Rattus norvegicus: one gene and its partners. The protein of the gene in region 2 interacts with the protein of the main gene of each other region in a biochemical or structural test. Links are inferred from orthologs where the notes say so. Each region holds a gene or a part of one and is shown on either strand. Other genes may lie near its edges.

Region 1 (4,467 bases), on a different chromosome or scaffold from region 2:
GCAGAGCTGTTACCCCTGCTTCAGATACAAGGAGGGCACCGGACACTGGGCCTCCGGAGTGCTGCTGGTCAAGACAAGAACTGAAATACATACGTCTTGCTTTCTGTGGAACTTACAATGACTCCTGTTATGAAGTCAGTTTCAAGAAGTACTGAATGGCTTGGTTATGTGAAGACTGTTTAAAGCAAATGTCTCCCTGTATCAACAGTTTATCCAGAGGCAAAGGCTCACTGGACTGTTCAAGACTTTCCTTTGCATTCTCCCCCGATGCCACTGCAGGAAGGCTCTCCCGTTCTGAGCTCCTTACAACATGCTAGCTGTCTGCTCATCCTCCACATTGCTGCATCGTGCTCTGTCTCGCATGGCAATAGTTTCCTTTTCTTACTCAACCCGGTAAGACTCTTAACTTGTCCCCTATGTATGCATGCTTGCTAGACGATTGGCACCTAAGGAGTCCTTCCTCTGAGATCTTCAGTGCTCAAAGCTTGGGAGCTATTTTCTTTTGTTGTCTGTAATATAAACAACTTACACTTACATGGATAATTCCATCTTAAGTGTTTTCTTCCTAACTGTAACCACAATGTCCTTTTGGATGAAGTGTGTGCATTTCCCTTTGTTATAAAGGTGTCTTGACAAAACTAATGTGCAATCGACATCTGTTAAGTGACTGCTAGGTTGTCAGGAAAACTCTTTATAATCTTAGGTCAAAATAGTCTGGCCAATTTATTGAAAAGACGGAAATTATTTTGTTAAAGTGAAAAAAAAAATTAGGCTTGGTTCAACTATCCTCAGTACTCTAAAACCAACTTTGATGCTACATAAACAGGACAGCTCCACTACCCCCCACCCCCCAATATCCCTGGCTATTCTCTGGCATAGTTAATCTACTCTGTGTGCTCAGGCTTTCCTCAGAAATGCTCACTAAACTTCCTTGCACCCTCTATAAACAAACAAACCTTATTCCTTCCCCTTTTTCTGAAAAAATGGTCCATTACCTTATTAAAACCAAAACTAGTGCTTATAGCTTTGGGAAAAATACACAAAAAGAAAGCCTACATCAATTTGGGCCTTCTCATCGTAACTCTATCAGAAGCAGGCTGATTTGGGGTCCACCCTGCCAGGAAAGCAGTCCCTTCCCTTAGGCTTTGCCTGATACTAGAAACTGAAAGTTGGTGAGCACTTTGAGGGTTCAAGTGCCACCCTGAGGTATGATCTTTTTTCAGTTGTCTTGATGGTTTATTTGGCCCTCCTACTTCTCATCTCCATGCCAATGGATCCTTTCACATAGTACAACAGTCACTAAGGTCATTCAGAGACTGTCAGGACTCATCTTTACACCCCAAAGTCTTTTAAACAAATTGACTTGAGAAGAACTGCTTTGCCACAATTTCCCACATCACTGTAGCTACCCTGGAACACTAGTTGTTCTACAGTTTTCAACTAATTGCTTCAGTCATTATTTTCCTAATGCCACTGACTGAGCATTCTCTTTTAAAGCTAACTTTTCCATCCCCGTTATACCTTCTCTGCCAATAATTTTTGAAGTGTTTCAGTTATGATCAGCCCTTAGGACTGTGTATGTTTTTAACTTGTGGACAAAGACTTACAGACAAGTGGAAAAAGTAAGTTCTCTTTACAATCCAGAACTCATTCTTTAATATGAGTTTTGATTATATATAAAGGAATATGACCCCCTAGTTCCCAAAACTTGTCCACTAGAAATCCAAGAACCAGTAGTTTTCTCACCTCTTTAACTCTCCATAAGGCATCAGTTTTATGCTGTGTGTGTGTGTGTGTGTGTGTGTGTTAGTGTATATATGTATTTTCTTTTCTAAGAAAAGAAAAAAATTCATTCGCCTATGTCCAATATAGGCATCTAAGTATATAGTTACAAATTAAAGGCCACAAATACTTCCCAAGAAAAAGTATTTAAAAAATCAGCTCCTCCTTTCACATAGCACAGCTAGCCTTCAAAGCACACCAGCTAAGCAAAAGGTGTCGTCCATGGAGACAGGAAGAGCAAGCTTCTCCTCTTTGGCTGATAGCTGAATTTTTATTGGCAGTTCTAGTAAAATATGTAACTTCTCATTTATTCTAAGCAAGGCTCTCCCCACCCCCAGCTTTCTTCAAATAATCTCTTTACTCTTCCATTAGAATGTGAAGTCTTGGAGATTTTGAACAGCAAGGTTTCGGGTGATAAGCAGTCACTTTAAATCATGTGTTGGCTATGTGGGAAGGAAGACTAGGGGAGGATGTCGAGATGGTGAGTGAGAGAGATAGTTAGCTCATCGGACACACTGGAAGACAACAGGCATCTCAGAGCTGCTTTCGGTATCTCACGAAGGCCCAAACTGCTACCAGGGTAAGGGCAAACACTGGCAGCAGCACCACAGCTACAGGAACTCCACTCGGCTCTCCGTCGCCTCGATGAACTATAGGTCCATTCTGCACTGGTAACTGAAAGGGAAGGGGGAATATTAACTCTCTGACTACTGTATGTGCCACAGCTAAAAGATCCAAGTTGACAATTACCTGGAGATGTAATCTATACCACCCAAAGCTATAAAATCCACACACTTTCCACCAAAAGAAATGAACTACTGTCCTACCTGATGCATCACTCACAGACTTTCCGATAGGGAAGCATTTGACTTTAGTTTACTACTGGCTTAATGGGACCTCACAGAGTAGAGTAGATAATTCCTGTTTCTATAATGTCTCTACCTTCTTATATATGATTCTTAACAGGAAAGTGAAGGGGTGAGATGAAAATGATGGCCCTTCAGGAAGTTTGGATATTGCAGAGCAGGAAAAGGGAGAGGAAGGAAGCAGCTTTCTTTCTGGAAACATTTACTTACAAAGAATATCAGTCATTTTAATACAATAAGAGCAGATCCAAATTCTGTCAACACAGTTCCAATGTCATTACTGGGAAAGCTTCTAAGTTAGCCTCTCGCTCCTAAGATGGGGTATTGTCCTCCATGCCCAAGTTTGCAATGCTAGGTACAGATAAAGGTGAAATCTACAGGAGGAGACATTAAAGACTTAAGAGATAAAGAAACCACATCCTAGTCATTCTCAATTTCTATCCCCCAAGTATTTCTTTTTATACTTGCATTGTCTTTCTTCATTCCAACTCTGTTTTACAGGGTGGACCCTCTTAAATCAATTTTTGATGGTTAACTTGAAATCACTACAATGCCATCTTCTTCCAGTTAGATTTAACCTCATTACATCCAGCCCACAGAACCCGAATCCCTTCCACTGAGAAGCAAGTACACAAACTGTCTTCTAGAACTGCTGTCCTATCCCTTATCACTGATGACAAGTCCTGAACAGCCATGCTTACTGGAAAGACATGGTTTTTCAGGATTAGATGAGCTTTTTGACCAATACTGCCTGTTGTATTTTAAGTTATTTGAGGCTGTTTCTAAAGTGAATGCACATCTTCAAAAGGAACCCTGATCATATCTGAAATATATGCCCACATAAATTCTCCATGCTTTAGAACCAGAGGAGCCCCTGCAAAGGCAGACACTAACCAATACTGTACTGTCTTTTATCTACCTGCCTCTGAGTTCAACACAACCACGTTCTGCTTGCAACTCTGGCCGCTTGCTTAGATATAACTTATGTCCTTTTGGGTTTGGGTTTTTTTGTTTTTGTTTTTTTTTATATAGTTTGAGTTTTCTTTTAGAGTCTCAACATGTAGTTCAAACTGGCACCGCTTTCTCCAGTTTTTTTTTACTAGCTCCTTTCAATCATCTTCGGCCTCTTACCAAGTAATTCTACTTTCCTTCCATTTTCACTTATAAACTTTAATCCACTAAAGGTAGGACCTGGGTTACACGCTGGTTTTACTGATAGGCAGAAATAACAAAGAACTCCTGCCTACGCTAGACAAAGGCAATCCCAGCAAAAGACAAAGCAAAACAGACTTTGAAGATTACAAGTTTATTCCCAAGTACAGTACAAAAGCCTACTGTCCCTTATCCAGGTGCAAGGGATACGTACCCTGTGCTGCACTCTCAGGGACACGGCATATCCTGCATTACGGAAGAGGTCTACGGCATCTTGGTGCAACAGGTTCTTCAGGTCTTGGCCATTTACCTGTCAATAGCAAGAGAGAGAAGTTAGAAAGGAAAATTCAGTCTCTCAAGTGAACAACTTACTTTCATGCAGTGAACCAATCCCTTAAAAATAAGATCGGACTCTTTCAGGTCAAATTCCAAGGTCTAGGAATATGGGCTTAGTTACTGAGCATGCAAGAGAAAGTTTCTTCATTTTCAAAGTTAGGTTTCCAACAACCGAGAATCCATGGATCATCTAAAGTGAATCCTGGCTTTAACAGATTTGTTTCTCCTCTTTCTTAACTTCTGTGCTCATCTTGTTTGACTGCACTGGCTCCAGTTGCTGTACCTGCCAATCACCGGTGAGTATCCGTCTATCTCCACACAGGTACATCAG
Region 2 (5,239 bases):
GATGGGAGGGAGCCCATAGCTCTTCCAATGCTTTAAAGCCTAAGAATTTAAAAGGGGTCTCTTAATCTGAGCACTGCTCACACTTTGAGCTAGATAATTCTTTGTTGTAATAGCTGGCCTGTGCAATGGGGAGTGGTTAGCAACACCCCTGTCTTTCACCCACTAGGTGCCAATTAAGTAAGTATCCCCTCCCCAGTTTTGACAAATAAAAAAGGTCTCTAGATGTCTCCTGAGGAGGACAGACAACGATCACTCCAGCATGAGAACCACTAGCTCAGATCATAAACAGGAAAATTTTCAAAGTGGAATGGGGGAGGGAGACTTTGTTTTGGTTTTTTATCTAGTCTGTATGTTTCGGCATAGTATACTGGGATTTAACAGCATACATGTAAGAGATTTCTACCTTTAAGAAACAAAGCACTGGGCTGGAGACGCAGTTTGGCAAGCAAGAATATTTGCTGATCTTCTAGAGGGCCAGAGCTCAGTTCCCAGCACCTCCATAAGACTAATTCCAGAGGATCTAACACCTCTGTCCTTCATGCATTTACATGCACATGCCCACCCACAAGCAGACACACACCTACAAATAATTAAGACAAGTAAGAATAAGTCTCTTCTTTAAAAAAAAAATAGACAAAAGAAAAAGCATTACTAAATATCACTTGCTAGCCAACATTCAGAAGTCCTAGAAGACTGTTCTATCAGCTCTCACTCCAACTACACAGTGATGCCTAGCTATCAACTACTGTATTTCTGCTCTTCTTTCATGAATATACTGACCACACTGTTACCAGTTCATACACAATCCAAAAGAATCTTCAACTTCACAGCCACTCAAATAGCATAGGAGCTATAGTACCTAGGTGAGATAAATGTCAGTACTGGGCAATGTTAAATTCATCCTCACATTTTTACAAATTGTGAGAAAACACAAAAATTAGCCATGATGCTTCAAACAGTAAAAAGCAGATCTGTGTTTTGAAACAGACTCTGAAGAAGGATAAAGAGGAATAAAAATTAAAAATCATAGGGAATCTGAAAGCACTCCAGGATGAGGGCAAAACTTAAAATGTTTCTCCTGGAATGAGAGCAAGGAGGAAATTATACACTTGGCCATATCCTACAGGAATAGTCTGCATAATCAGTCTCCACAGCACACACCATGGGATGGAAGCTGAAAAAGCCAAAGACTAAAAACATTTAAAAGCCAGCAACCATGCCTCCTTCCTGAACACCTTGAATAAACACATTCCTTACTACTGTTTCCCATTTGATTTTTCTAAGTCAGATACCCAGAAACAAACTGGTAATTTAGTAAATTACTTAATTCTAATAAAAATAGCCACCCTCTGCTTCCAGTGCCAGATTACACATTACACAGAAAAATCAATTAGAAGACACCACACACACACACACACACACACACACACACGGGGGAAGGAGGGCTTTTAAGAGTGCATTTAATCCCTAACGAAGTCCTTAAAAAAAAAAAATTAAGACATTTTAAGCACAAAAACACCTTCATGTATCAATATGGATTAAAGCTTTTCAAATTATTTTAATGAATTATCTCTATGTTCTACAACAGCAGAACTTCTCTACCTCAAAATTTTTGCTATCAACCTAGGAGCCCAGGGATCATAATCATAAAGGGAACTACTGCTCAGTTCCTTTTACTCCCAAACCAAGCAGAGGAAGCTGTAAGATCTGTAGTGTCAGCTTGCTTTTCCAGGAGTGATACCTTGGGGCTGCTCAAGAATAACCTCCCTCATCAATTAATGAGACTCAGGTGGGTTTGAGAAAGAATAATGTCCAGTCCTTGGTCAGTGGCCATGATGCCCCTCCTCCTCAAGGGCAGATGAGAAAAAAAGGAAACCTGAACGGAGACCTAAACAGGAGTTTACCAGCAAGATATATCGGGTCGGGGGGGAAGCAATATGAGGGGAAAAACTACACGGTTAAGTCAGTTCCGAAAAGCAAGATATTTAACATTATCAAAGCTTTCATTCATTTCAGACACCATTGTTTAGCTGGCTTTCTAAACCAAGCACAAAAAGAACTGTCCGCCTGCCTTAAGCATGTTCCTTCTTCCATTTAAACAGACATGATTCTTTTGGTTAATCTCTGGCAATGATCGCCATTTCACAACACATTCAGCCCACCCGGAACTGATCAATACCACTACAGACATAAGACTAGACTTTATCCATTTATTAACCACAAGGAAATGTACCATTCAGCAAAATTCTATACATTACAAAAGATTCTATTAAAAGGGGGGTGGGGTGGGGAAGATGGACGGACACACACACACACAACAGAGAGAGGTACACAAAGAAAAGACTACCACCTTCTAATTTCCCTGTGACATACGAGGGAACGACACAGCCATGAAACCTGTCAATTCGTCCCCCACCCCTCTTCTTTGCCACAACCTAGGAAGTATCCACTGAATTTTTATAATGAATGTATTCACTGTGACTTTTAAACTGTTTCATCCCTCGAACTAACTCTCCTGTTAAGTGCGTTTGCACACCTTTCAGCTAGATGTATGCATTTCCAGAAATTCAAGTACAAAAGCCTAGTTTTTCCAACCACTGGTTGCAACCATACAACATCTTCATATAATCATAATTTTCGGATATAAAATGGCCAGAGTATTCTCCTAACCTTGAGCTAAAAAACATCTCACAAGAATAGCACATTTAACATGAGCACAATTTCACATGCCCTGTTCTAAACTGAAAACAATGTGTCAGTACAAAGCATTTAAAAGAAGTATTCCGTAGGTAAGCAGAATCTACGCCTGAAAAGAGCACACAAATGGTGGGTGAAAGCCAACACACACCACCAACACACACCAGCATACCTCTCCTGCACTGGGTTATGGTTAATACTCGGCAACTAAAACTATTTTTAACACTACTGGACAATGAAGTTGGAGAAAACGTGAGAGAAGACCTAGATTAAATCGCAGATAGGATGCATTGTTTCTCACAGTCAAAATTAAACACCAGCCCACTTGATCTATGTCTCGATATTCACCGGTGAAGCACTAATTAGATGACGACCAAAACCGGTCCTTGTTTTGGAACAGCTTAGGCTAAATGACATTTCGGAATACCTCCTTCTGGGTCTCAAACCTTTACATAAATTTTCACTTGTGGTATTTGCGGCTTCACAGCAACCCAACCAGCGCTGTCATCGAGTGTTATGGCCACAAACCATGACTTTCTCACTTGCACAACAACACGGCACTCAACCTATCAGTTCGCCAAACCAACCCAAAACAAGTGGAATTCGTGGAGATTTCCAGATTGTCAGGGCTGCGGGGTTGGGCGCGGGAAAAGCCTCGGCCCCAGAACTGCCCAGCCGACAGCAGCCGGCCACAGCCCCGCCGCGCCGGCTCCTCCACCTACCTGAAGAGCAAGAGATAAGAAAGACGGCGAACGCCAACTTTGCAGCAGCTCCCATTTTCCCGAGGCGCCGGAGAAGCCGTAGGAAGTTCTCGCTAGATATCCAGTTCCCTGGGTCTTCCTCGGAGACAAACCTCCTGGTGTAAAATCAACCGTCATAAAACATATTCGGAAGCCCCGAGGCGGGGGGGAGGGGGGAGCAAAAACGTTCACAGGGTCGAAAAAAGGGGGGAAAAAGGCACAACAATTTAAAAAATTGTACCACGGGGGAAAAACCGCCACATACACGCACAACACACAAAACCAAACAACGAAAAGCCAACAACAACAAAAGCGGGTTGGAATCACTGTCAAAATCACTGTCAGCTCCGCTCGCCTCTCGCGTCTCAGTGAACAAAACGCCTGACTGAGGCGACGAGGCGGCGGCGGCGGCGGCGCCCGCAGCCGCCCGGACGGTCCGGGAGCCGAGCTGCTCCGACGTCCGGACCGACCTTCAACCCGGACACCCAAAGTCCGCGGACCACGGTAGCCGAGCTTGCGGCGGTGGCGGTGCGAGGCGGCGACGGAAGACGGCCACCGGAGACTGCTGCGCAGGAGGCGGCCAAGTTCTGGTCCAGGCTGTGGCTCCGGCTCCCGGCTCCCGGCTCGGCCGCGTTTTCGGTCTCCTGGCCTCCGCCGGCCCCGCCCCCTACACTTCCGGTTCCGGCCCGAAGCTGGAAGCCAGGCGCGGCGGAGAACGCTCCGCGGCGGCGGTGGCGGCGGCGGCGGGAGCGGCGGCAGGGCGCAGCGCGCGTGCCGGGCGGCGAGCGCGAGGAGATTGCCCGGGAGGCGGGGCGAGCCGGAGGGGCGGGGCCGGGGCTGGAGCGCGCTCTGCGAGGCCTGCGGGACCCAAGACCGAGCTGACGGGACGGCGGGCCCTGCGGGTGCCTGCTACGGTCTCGAGACCCCTGGAGTGCCCAGTGCGGTGCCCGCCCGGGCGCGAGATCCGCGGCGCCCGAGCGGGATGGGCGATGCCAAGGCCGACTGCGGCGCCCAGCCTTTCCTCTGGGGGACGCCGAGGCCGCGCCGAGCTGATCGGAGTGGGCGGGAGCCGCACCCGCTGCTGCCCGAGCGAGCTCGGTGCTCGCGAGCCGGCCGCGCCCCCGCCGCGGAGGCCTCCCAGCGTTTGTCTTTGGGCTAAAAAATAAAGGCAGGAAGGGCTGTCCGCCAGGTCAGAACACCCTCGCCGGTTAGCTGGTTGTGCGGTTCGGATCCTTTCCACCATACCTTGTATACACAAAGCATTGTGTTGCAAACAGGTTTGCTCCTAGTTAGCGAGAAAAGTCTGTATTAAGCTTGAAGTGAAAACTGCAGATTTCAATGTATTGGACAGTCAGAGACGTTGGTATTATCAATTCTATGCCTCTTGTAAGACCTATTTTACCCCGTAAGCCATGTTGAACTGTTTCCCGGGTGTTCAGTTAAGCACCGAAACAAATACAAAATGTAAAAATGTGACCCCTACCTCCAGAAGCTCGGCTATTTGGGATATTAGAAGTTAACTAGAGCGTGCAGAGAATGATTGCTAGAGCCAGTACGTTTGCCATTTACCACAATTCAGCATAATAAAGAGGGAGATATTGTCTTTTTTTTTCCCACTTTACTCCAGCACTGAAGGTTTTGACAGGAATGCTTCCTCAGTAGAAACGTAAATATCTAGAGGTTTACCTTTTTATCTTAACACAATAACCTCTATCTACTATACAGTGTTTGGAGATTTTTTTTTTTTAATAAAAAAAAGGAAGCAACTGTGGGATGGGTAATTAATGTTTTAGTGTACACTG
Region 3 (5,208 bases), on a different chromosome or scaffold from region 2:
TTTTTATGATACCAAAGCCAAACTTCATGGTTCGCTACAAGGGACATCTAAGATGATAGATTTTGTCACTATTGATCCACTTTGTGTCATTTAGAACCATAGTAGAGGGTTCTCTTAGGATTGTCCCAGGAAAAGCAGAGGCAGGTACCTTCAGCCAGTGTTAACTGTATCTACCATTTACTGAGCCTGGCCTTACACCCTGAGTCTGGGAGCATCTAGATATCATCCCAACGTTACACATGTGGAGATCGTTATCCACAGCATTGGATGCATAGCTCTGGGACTGTCAGAGCGCACACAGCTAATTGGCATCCGTACCTAAGGCAAGCCAGAAAATACACTGTCAGGATTAGAGTAAAGATTCTGCAGTGCTGGCTGGGGACCACCAAGGTCAAATATTTAATTAAAAATCAAAATAAAAAATATTTAGATAAAGTGAAACATTGCATGCAGCATTAGAGTATCTAAGTCGTTGGAATGGTGTTGATAGCTACCATCGAAAGCGAAAGTGCTTTTATTTTTAAGACAAAAATGTATCTTCATGCCAACAGCATTGTCACGTTAGGCAGAAAGATGGGGGTTTTCTCCCAGCCTCATAATTGCTTCTCACTTCTCCTGGCCTGCAGCTTGACCACAAGCATTGCCATTTGTGGGTCGGTGCCCACTCTCAGTCAGTGCATTATCCATAGGAGACGTGTTCTGATACAACCACTGGATGCCCGGAGGTACAGGTAGTTCTAAGCCCTGCACACCGTGTTCCTTCTGTGTGCACGCACGCCCGTGCTGATGCAAAGTGTGTAAATCAGGCTCAGCCAGAGCTTAACCGAGAGTAAAGAAAATGGGAAGTTTAAAAAAATATACCCGTGACAAAAGTGACTTCGAAATTATGAGCTGTTTGTTTCTAGATGTACATTTAATAGACACAGTAGAACCTCAGAAATAGGCCTAGGCTCTCTCAGATGGGTCTATTGCATGGGGAAAGATAAGCAGAGACCCATGCTACTGAGATCTAGCGACTGGTCTGGAGAATAGAGGGGTCAACCTGATGGTCCCTCACTGGGGACTTGTATCCTTGGGAAATTTTTAGCCTTTTGTTGCCTCCGTTTCCTCTCTTGCACCACAGGGCCCTTCTCACCAGTTTATCAAGGTGGCTCATGAAGCTCGCAGGCCACTCACAAGCCAGCAGCTGATGCTTAGATGACACTTCTGTCCCCTCCAACCCCGTGCAAGCCCAGTGCATGTGACAAAGCATGGCGCCCTCACTCTGGCTACCTCCACAGTGGCTGTGGAACCACTCACTGCCAGACACCAGAAACCACACACCCACGGGCATTAGGCGAGTGTTTCCTAGGTCACACGTGAACGGTGTTGATGTTGCTGCTACTGAGTACACGGAGTTAATTGCGTCAATGACATACGTGGAGGGGGTTGGGATCTCTGGCTGGGCTCACATTCTGGCCTGTGGGATATGACGACTTAGGTCCCCAATTACAAAACAAAAACAAAACAAAACAAAACAAACAAACAAAAAAAAAAAACAACCAGCCTTTACCCTAGGTAGAGATCCTAGACAAACCCAGGGGCCTGGTGACCTATAAACTATATGCTTTTTTTTTTTTATTAACTTGAGTATTTCTTATATACATTTCGAATGTTATTCCCTTTCCTGGTTTCCGGGCAAACAGCCCCCTAATCCCTCCCCCTCCCCTTCTTTATGGGTGTTCCCCTCCCCACCCTCCCCCCATTGCCGCCCTCCCCCCAACAGTCTAGTTCACTGGGGGTTCAGTCTTAGCAGGACCCAGGGCTTCCCCTTCCACTGGTGCTCTTACTAGGATATTCATTGCTACCTATGAGGTCAGAGTCCAGGGTCAGTCCATGTATAGTCTTTAGGTAGTGGCTTAAACTATATGCTTTTAACGAAGCCATTAAACAGGAAGTTTCATGTTCCTCTGAAACTTCCTGTTGAGCAGCCAGAAAAGTTGGACAGATCTGGCCGGGCCTGGCTGTGGCCCTGAACTGGGACCCTTGGGCATTTGCAAATCTCTGGACAAGAAAGAGAGAAAGGACCTGGGCTCCGGGTCCTTCAGAGCAAGATGCCAAACAGAAGAAGGGGCGACTGGAGCTGGTTTTATGCAGGATGTAGGGACGGCAACGTGACCTCGCAGTGGGTGCCTGACCTGGGTTCCTCAGCCTTGGTGACCCTAGCTCTCTGTTCAGTAACTCATTCTACCCAGATTCTGTTGTTCTGTGACTTGCCAGTTATAGACCTCGCCTCCGTGTTTGCCTTCTAATCTTCCTAAATCATGGACACTTGGCAGGGAAAACGTATTGGACCGACACACTGCCTACTGCCCTGAGGAAGATTACACCCTGGACATAATGAGGGCCTCTTCTAGTCCTACTCTATTAACTTTTTAAAATCTGGGTCTAAAGTGCACTTTATAAGAGAGAACCCTTTCCTTTAAAGCTGAAAAAAAATACAAGTTTATTGAAGGCTAAATGAAGGATCTATTTCTAAGTCAGAAGAAGATGGGAAGGGAGAGAGGAAGATAGGAAGGGAAGAGGAAGAGAAGTCAAGTGGAAAGAAAAGGGAGGAGAGGGAAGAGGAGGCGTGAGAGAGGAGGGAGGGGAAGTGGGGGAGGACAGAAGGAGATCGAAGGAGACTGAAGCAAAAATCAGGGAAAGAAAAAGAAGGTGAGGAAGTGGACAGAGGGACGCAGAAACCTGGTATACTGGATACGGGGTTAACCGTGGATATGATTCTGGGGAGGAGCCAGGCTGTGCACCGGACCCTTTAGTGTTGATGGACAGGACCCATGATTCGCACTGCCTTGTGGGGAAGCCATTAGCCACACGCGAATGATGAACAGGAAACTCGTATTTTCTCCCTATTTCACCAAGGGTCACTTCAATAGAAACCTGAAGATCCGCTTGTGGTCAGTGGCCATCCCACCCGGCAGAGCCACTGCACTGTGGGGGGCAGGGCGCACTATGTCCCACCCCATGGAAGTCCGGGGAAAGCACTGTACCTTCCACGCTGAAGCTCCGCACGATGTTGGAGGCAGGCGTGGACGACTTGTCCGTAGTGTATCTGTTGTACAAGTCGATCATGTACTGGGGTGGCTCCGCTCTGGTTTTGTCCTGAGAGGGAATGCCACTCAGGTTAAGGCTGCGCAGGAAGTCCACTTTCATGTTCTCCAGAAACATCTTCAGGTCAAAGACGCCCTCCTCTCTGCTTCCAGACAATCCCAGGGAGCTGCGGGCATTTCCCCCAGGGGATGCCTGCCCCCAGCTCTGCAGCGGCTTCTGCTGCGTGGGACAGACCAGCAGGAGCAGCGTGAGCAGGACCACCCGGAAGGCCCCAGGGGACATCTTGGGCCCTAAAGGGGGACTGCCCTGCAGGCCGTTGTGTTGTATCACTAGGTGCAATGGGGAGCCCAGGAGGAACAGGCCCACATTGTCCTGTTGACTGCTCAGCAGGGAGCCTGGCTGGCTCAGTTCTCCCCAACAGCCCGACAATCTCCCACTCTACTTATCTGGGTGTGGATGCTATGCTCAGACCTCTTATCTAAGGCAGCTCTCTTTAATGAAGGCTGTATAAACATCTGACAAGCACCAGGGGCTGGTGGGAAGGATCCTGACTACTGTAAAGGATCGACATTTCTCCGGAGGGTCATCCACCCTAATTAGGATCTTTGTCCATTTCCTTGCTGGCTTGGTTCAGAAAACTCCAGGCAGGGTACACAGACCTTCTCTGCTGGACCACAGAAACAAAGAATTCAGAAAATGAGGCTGGGAAGTTCCCTAAATATAGAAAGCTCACCAAGTACCCAGAAGATGACACGAGCTGTGGGGGTCAGGAAGGTGGGGAGGTGTGGGAGATTGCATCAGGGGTAGGCGAAGTCTGGTCCTTACGGTATCCTTACGGGACCCGGCAGTGTATCTGGGCGCTGCCCTCTGAGGGAAGAGCTCCTGAGTATTGAGAATGGAGTGTGGACGGGCCCAGGGCATTCTGTGGACAGGCAAAACAGATGATAGCTCCTGTTCCCACTGTTCCTCCACGCTGTGGCCTGGGCCCTTTGAGCTTCCTTTTAGAAGATGCGTTTGCCTACATGTAGGCCACTTCCAGCTCCTGACAGTGGGTGGTCATGTTCAAGCCACCCTCCAGTGCTGGCTCTGACTGTGCTGGGGGAGGAAGCTGGCTGCTCATTAGTCCCACAAACACATGTATCTGAGGCTCTGAGCTCCATCCCTGACCCTGCTCTGTATGGTGCTGGTGCATGCAAGTATACAAGTGTAGAAGTGTGTATGTGTGTGTGAGTGTGTGTGTGAGTGTGTGTGTGAGTATGTGTGTGAGTGTGTGTGAGTGTGTGTGAGTATGTGTATGTGTGTGTATGTGAGTGTGTGTATATGTGTATGTGTGTGAGTGTGTATGTGTGTATGTGTGTGTGAATGTGAGTGTGTGTGCGCGTATGTGTATGTGTGTGAGTGTGTGTGTGTGTATGTGTATGTGTGTGTATGTGTGTGTGTGAGTGTGTGTGAGTATGTGTATGTGTGTATGTGTATGTGTGTGTGAGTGTGTGTATATGTGTGTGTATGTGTGTGAGTGTGTATGTGTGTATGTGTGTGAGTGTGTGTGCGTATGTGTATGTGTGTGTATGTGTGTGTGAGTGTGTATGTGTGCGTATGTGTACGTGTGTATGTGTGTGTGTATGTGTGTGTGAGTGTGTGTATGTGAGTGTGTGTGTGTGCATATGTGTATGTGTGTGTGAGTGTGTGTGTGAGTGTGTGTGTGAGTGTGTGTGTGAGAGAATGTATGTATGTCTGTAAGTGTGTTTTGTGTGTGTGTGTGTGTGTGTGTGTGTGTGTGTGTATGTGTGGTATTCAGAGGATGACTTGATTCATGTCAGCAGGGAGGCCATCTGGACCAGAGTTCTCAGTCAGGAGACCCACAGAGAGGTTAGGACTCACAGGAGCAGTTGGGCAGCTCTGAGACTGATCTCATGCCCAGAGATGGCTTCTAGCCTGTGAAGGCTGCTTGAGTTAGTCCAAAGACAACGTTTAAAAGCCGTGTCCCTGTGCTTGGCCCCCATCTATTTCCATCACAAGTAGTGTTAGTCAAAGTGAAGAAAGAAGACAGTTAAAAATGTTTGGGATTGTGGCAGCCTACTCCGAGGAAGATGGAGTGTGATATTCTGTGCTTGTCAG
Region 4 (5,115 bases), about 88 Mb from region 2:
TAGATTATTAAAGCCCCTCCTTCTGGTTTTTCTCTGTCTTTGCTTTGCAAACTTGAAAGATCTGATTCAGAACCTGGTATTACCAATCTGGTCTTCCACAGAAATGTTCTGCCCATAGCTTTGGGGGTCATGTGGGCAACAAGGTGGTAGTATGTATGAAGGCTCCTGAAATGAGGGAGAAGTGGAAAGAGTTCAAAACGAATCCTGGATCAGCAGCTTTGGGGACATTCCAGCTGAGGAAGAAAAGTGGCTTAGCCACAGTCAGAGTCTTGCTTCTGGAGACCTAGTGGAGAGGGCCAGACAGAAAATTCAAAAGTCTCAAACCAGAAATGTCTTGTTACCTGCCTCTGGTGTAGGTGGGTGGGGGAGGGGAGATAAATAGCCCAAGTATGGAAGTGATTGTTTCTATAAAGAGAACTTCTATTAACTCCCATTGTCCCCTCACATGGACAGACAGACAGACACACACACACACACACACACACACAAACACTAGAGGGGACATCCACTTTACATGTGTATATCTATGTACAGAACCTGTACCCTCATTTTTATAATTTACATAAATGAATACATATATGTATATACATCTTTTATTAGATTCATTTATTTGACTATATATGCACATGGGCGCATATAAATGTATGAATATTTATAAAATGTAATAATACACTCGAATGTGTATTGGCTATTTCTTGACATTTTCTTCTCACCATTCAAAACAGAGAAGCGTTTGCTCACATCTTTGCCAACATGTCTGATAACTTCTAGGTTCTTCTTTTTAATGTGATCTTACCTAAAAACTTCAAACTCAAGTTGAATATTGGCCCAGTGGGGGAACTCAGAGGCAAGCCTACCCTGAATTTGCCCTAAACTCGGGCATCTGGGGCACGAATCCTGGTCCCGGGGGTCTGCTTTACACTCAGCCGGGACGCGACCCCTTAGCGGCCGCGCGCTCGCCCCGCCCCGCCCCGCCGCGGCCGCCCCTCAGGGCGCGCCGTCCACACCCCTGCGCGCTGCTCCCGCCCGCCCGGGGATCCCCAGCGCGCTGCGCCTCCGAGGGGGAGGTGTTCGGCCACGGCCGGGAGGGAGCCGGCAGGCGGCGTCTCCTTTAAAAGCCGCGAGCGCCGCGCCACGGCGCCTCCGTCGTCGCCGCCGGAGTCCTCGCCCTGCCGCGCAGAGCCCGGCTCGCACTGCGCCCGCCGCTGCGCTTCCCACAGCCCGCCCGGGATTGGCAGCTCGGGACGAAGCCTCCCTAGCCCACACCGGCCATCGGACGCCCTCAGGGCGAGCGACGCGAGGGTCACCCGGGGCTTCGAGGGGCCGGCACGACACCGGTTGGAGCTGCGAACTGTGCGCGCCCGGCTCTGTGGCCTCAGCTGTCCGGGAGAAGCCAGAGTCGCGGACCGACGCTAAGAGCCGGGAGTCCGGAGCACAGTCTTACCCTCAACGCTGGGCTACTCCGACACGAGAGTGAGCGCCCGAGGCGAGCAGGAAGAGTGATCGGACCCCAGGCTGCCACAAAAGACACTTGGCCCGAGGGCTCGGAGCGTGAGGTCACCCGGTTTGGCAGCCGGGGACGCGCGGCTGGACTGTCTCGAGAATGAGCCCCAGGACGCCGGGACGCCGCAGCCGTGCGGGTTCCGCTGGCGAGCGCTGATGGGGGTGCGCCAGAGTCAGGCTGAGGGATGCGGAGTGGCGGCCCGCCCGCCACCCAGATCTTCGCTGCGCCCTTGCCGGGACCCGGCGTCGCCCACGATGGCTGCCCCGAGCCATGGGTCGCGGCCCAGCTAACGCAGAACGTCCGACCCTCGCCCGGCGAGTCCCGGAGCCGGCCCCGCGCCCCGCCAGCGCTGGTCCCTGAGGAAGACGACAGCAGCAGCCTTGCCTCAGCCTTCCCTCCCCGTCCCTGCCCCGCACTCCTCCCCCTGCTTGAGGCTGTGTGTCAGCACTTGGCTGGAGACTTCTTGAACTTGTCGGGAGAGTGACTTGGGCTCCCCACTTCGCGCCGGTGTCCTCGCCCGGCGGATCCAGTCTTGCCGCCGCCTCCAGCCCGGTCACCTCTCTGTTCCTTGGCCGGCTGGGCCCACCCCAAGACACGGTTCCCTTCGGGGAGAACACCCGGAGAAGGAGGAGGTGAAGAAAGGCAACAGAAGCCCAGTCGCTGCTCCAGGTCCCTCGGACAGAGCTTTTTCCATGTGGAGACTCTCTCAATGGACGTGCCCCCTAGTGCTTCTTAGACGGACTGCGGTCTCCTAAAGGTAGAGGACACGGGCCCGGACCCAGGGCTGGCGGGTGACACCGCTTCCCGCCCGGCGGCGCTGGGCGCCTCGGAGGACCGGTGGAGTGGACGTAAACATACCCTCTCCCGGTGCACGTGCAGCGAGCGGATCCCTAGAGGGGTCAGGCACTCTGAACCCCAGATCCCTCTGTCTTGCCCACCTGGTCTGCGACCTCCTTTCAGCCCGTTCCTCCTCCCCAGTTTTAAATACATTATCAGGGCTGTTTTGGGCTTTACCCCCTCCTCCGCCCCCAAATTGCAGAAATCCATTTAGAGAGTATGGCCGGTGGATTTCACTAGTTCATTGCCCACCAGCACTCCAAGCCTTAGAGATCCTTCGCTATCCTTAAGAACTAGGTCCCATTTAGGAAGCTACTAAAAGTCGGGGTTCTTTTTGTGTGTGTTTACTGACTGTGCGGATGTGTCACAGCTTACACGTGCATTTATAGACACTATCTATTTAGGTCATTGCAGAAAGGTGCATGGATTTCTTGACTGCACAGGGGTCTGGAGAAGGGGACAGAGTGGCCTGTGGGTCAACCTTGAAGTTAGGGGCGTAGGCCACGACTTGCAAGTGGCGTCATTAGTATTAATCTTTAGTTTACCGCTTTCTGAATCTACAATCTACCAGGAAGTTCTATACGGCGCCTCTAAGGAAGTCACTTGTGCATTTGTGTCTGTTTATGTGCAAATGAACGCTGTGCAGTATAGTTGTAAGGGATGCAGTGTCCGAACAATCTATGGGTTCCCAGCTTCCTGACACAGGCTTTACTAGCTAGTGTCACAAGAAAAGGTGACAGACAGTCATTGATTTTTCTTTTTTAAATTGGGAGTTAAGACCAAGCCCCAAGTGAGAAGTCCGGCTGGGACTTAGGGGTTCTTCATCCTCTTGATCATCCAGGCTGTAGCTTGGATGACATGCCAGGAGGGCATCCTGGAGAAGGCCAGCGAGCCCTGTGGGAGCCGGGGCCGCGGGGGCGGGCGGAGGACTGGGCGGGGAACGTGGGTGACTCACGTCGGCCCTGTCCGCAGGTCGACCATGGTGGCCGGGACCCGCTGTCTTCTAGTGTTGCTGCTTCCCCAGGTCCTCCTGGGCGGCGCGGCCGGCCTCATTCCGGAGCTGGGCCGCAAGAAGTTCGCCGGGGCATCCGGCCGCCCCTTGTCCCGGCCTTCGGACGACGTCCTCAGCGAGTTTGAGTTGAGGCTGCTCAGCATGTTTGGCCTGAAGCAGAGACCCACCCCCAGCAAGGACGTCGTGGTGCCCCCCTATATGCTCGACCTGTACCGCCGGCACTCGGGCCAGCCAGGAGCGCCCGCCCCAGACCACCGGCTGGAGAGGGCAGCCAGCCGCGCCAACACCGTGCGCAGCTTCCATCACGAAGGTGAGCGGGCGGCGGGTGGCGGGGCGGGGACAGCGGGCGGAGACTCAGTGGGCAGCCCGGGCCTCCGCTAGCACAGTGGACGGTCCTTCGGCTTCTGTACCGTCCCCTCTGTGGCCCCGAGCCAGGGATTCCCCACTGGTGAGTCCGCACCCTTTTCCTGGCAGGTGGCCAGCAGACAGACTCCTCCCCACTAGAACTGGAGGGAAATCGAGTGATGGGGAAGAGGGTGAGAGACTGGCTAGCCCCTTGTCAGCTCATTGTGGGAGAATTTCACAGAAGGCAGGGAGTTGGGGCTCCTTAAATCTGTGTGGAAGCTCAGATCTGTGGCTTGTGTTCAGGCTGGAGTTTTAAGCTAGGCAGAGGTAGTATTAACAAATCAAATCCAGGGCCCCAAAGCATTCAAATTTGCTGTTCATCTGGGCCTCGTTTGAAAGATTTTTGAATCCCTATCTAATCCCCGTGGGAGATCAATTCCACAATCCATCATACTGTTTCCCCAATGACCTTCCTTTCTCCTGCTTAACTCTTAAGTCTCCAAGTGGAGACAGGTCAAGCCTTCAGATAAAAGCATTTTCTCCCACTGCCTGCTACCTTCCTAGACAAGGTAATGGAATTTTTAAAAAAATACGATATGAGTATGGTTTCCCAAGGTAGAGTAATGTTTATTTCTTCGGAAGGAGATTTAGTGGGTAAGACATGCTGTAGAGGCCTATTGAAGTCTCTTGTGCCAATGTCCTTATAGCAGTTAGTAAAAATAATAATAATAATAATAATAATAATAATAATAATAATAATAATAATCGTGCCTCAGTTCAATTCCGTGTGTGTCACTTTAAATGTGCTTTTGGTTTAATGCAATCTCAATAGGATATCAGTTCCTTCAAGTTCTAGAAGAATTCAGAGTTGTCTGTCAGTGAGCTGCAATTTATAGAACAATGGGGAGCTAGGAGAGAAGTTCCCTTTTTAAAGCTTCGCTTTGCCTTTCTTGAGAGGATACATTTTAAGTAGAAATCTATGCTCTGAAATGGCAGCCCAACCCCCATCCCCAATAAGGGATGACTCAAACTTTGAGAAGTCTGGTTGATAATAGGAAAAAGAGCCACCGGCAGGTCACATAGCAAGGGGTGTATCTTCCTTGAGGCAGCCAATGGTTATGAAGGGCACTAGAAACTGGTGTCTAAGGTTTTCTGGGGACAACGTTCAGTATTGAAAGATAGTGAGACCTTATTCTGCTCCTTAGGGTCTGCTTGCTGAGAGAGGGAGATTCCAGAATGTACACCCCCAGCCCCCGTCCCCAGGGCTAAGCTAATCTTTCTGGGTTAATATTTATTGGAAAATGTTTTGTAGATCAAAACAAACAAACAAAACCACTAGCCAGCACAGCTGTTTTTCCCACTGCCTTTGGAGATAGAGCAGGAAAACAATTTATTCGTGTATTTGTTTATTTATTAG

Evidence for each region.
Region 1: the proteins of Acvr2a (region 2) and Synj2bp form a complex in vitro, tested with the Homo sapiens proteins (2 studies listed by BioGRID and IntAct, with this or other methods). The link is inferred for Rattus norvegicus from reciprocal best matches to the Homo sapiens genes ACVR2A and SYNJ2BP.
Region 3: the proteins of Acvr2a (region 2) and Gdf2 form a complex in vitro, tested with the Homo sapiens proteins (2 studies listed by BioGRID). The link is inferred for Rattus norvegicus from reciprocal best matches to the Homo sapiens genes ACVR2A and GDF2.
Region 4: the proteins of Acvr2a (region 2) and Bmp2 form a complex in vitro, tested with the Homo sapiens proteins (3 studies listed by BioGRID and IntAct, with this or other methods). The link is inferred for Rattus norvegicus from reciprocal best matches to the Homo sapiens genes ACVR2A and BMP2.

Annotation. Positions count from the first base shown.
Region 1 is NC_086024.1:106,923,943-106,928,409, forward strand, and holds part of Synj2bp (synaptojanin-2-binding protein), read right to left. Parts: intron 4,111-4,467; coding exon 4,015-4,110; intron 2,458-4,014; coding exon 2,317-2,457; 3' UTR 1-2,316. UniProt on the Homo sapiens protein: Regulates endocytosis of activin type 2 receptor kinases through the Ral/RALBP1-dependent pathway and may be involved in suppression of activin-induced signal transduction.
Region 2 is NC_086021.1:53,613,035-53,618,273, reverse strand, and holds the start of Acvr2a (activin receptor type-2A precursor), read right to left. Parts: upstream 3,489-5,239; 5' UTR 3,475-3,488; coding exon 3,420-3,474; intron 1-3,419. UniProt on the Homo sapiens protein: On ligand binding, forms a receptor complex consisting of two type II and two type I transmembrane serine/threonine kinases.
Region 3 is NC_086034.1:9,259,960-9,265,167, reverse strand, and holds the start of Gdf2 (growth/differentiation factor 2 precursor), read right to left. Parts: upstream 3,490-5,208; 5' UTR 3,373-3,489; coding exon 3,030-3,372; intron 1-3,029. UniProt on the Homo sapiens protein: Potent circulating inhibitor of angiogenesis. Signals through the type I activin receptor ACVRL1 but not other Alks. Signaling through SMAD1 in endothelial cells requires TGF-beta coreceptor endoglin/ENG.
Region 4 is NC_086021.1:141,263,507-141,268,621, forward strand, and holds the start of Bmp2 (bone morphogenetic protein 2 precursor), read left to right. Parts: upstream 1-2,017; 5' UTR 2,018-2,261; intron 2,262-3,313; 5' UTR 3,314-3,320; coding exon 3,321-3,663; intron 3,664-5,115. UniProt on the Homo sapiens protein: Growth factor of the TGF-beta superfamily that plays essential roles in many developmental processes, including cardiogenesis, neurogenesis, and osteogenesis. Induces cartilage and bone formation.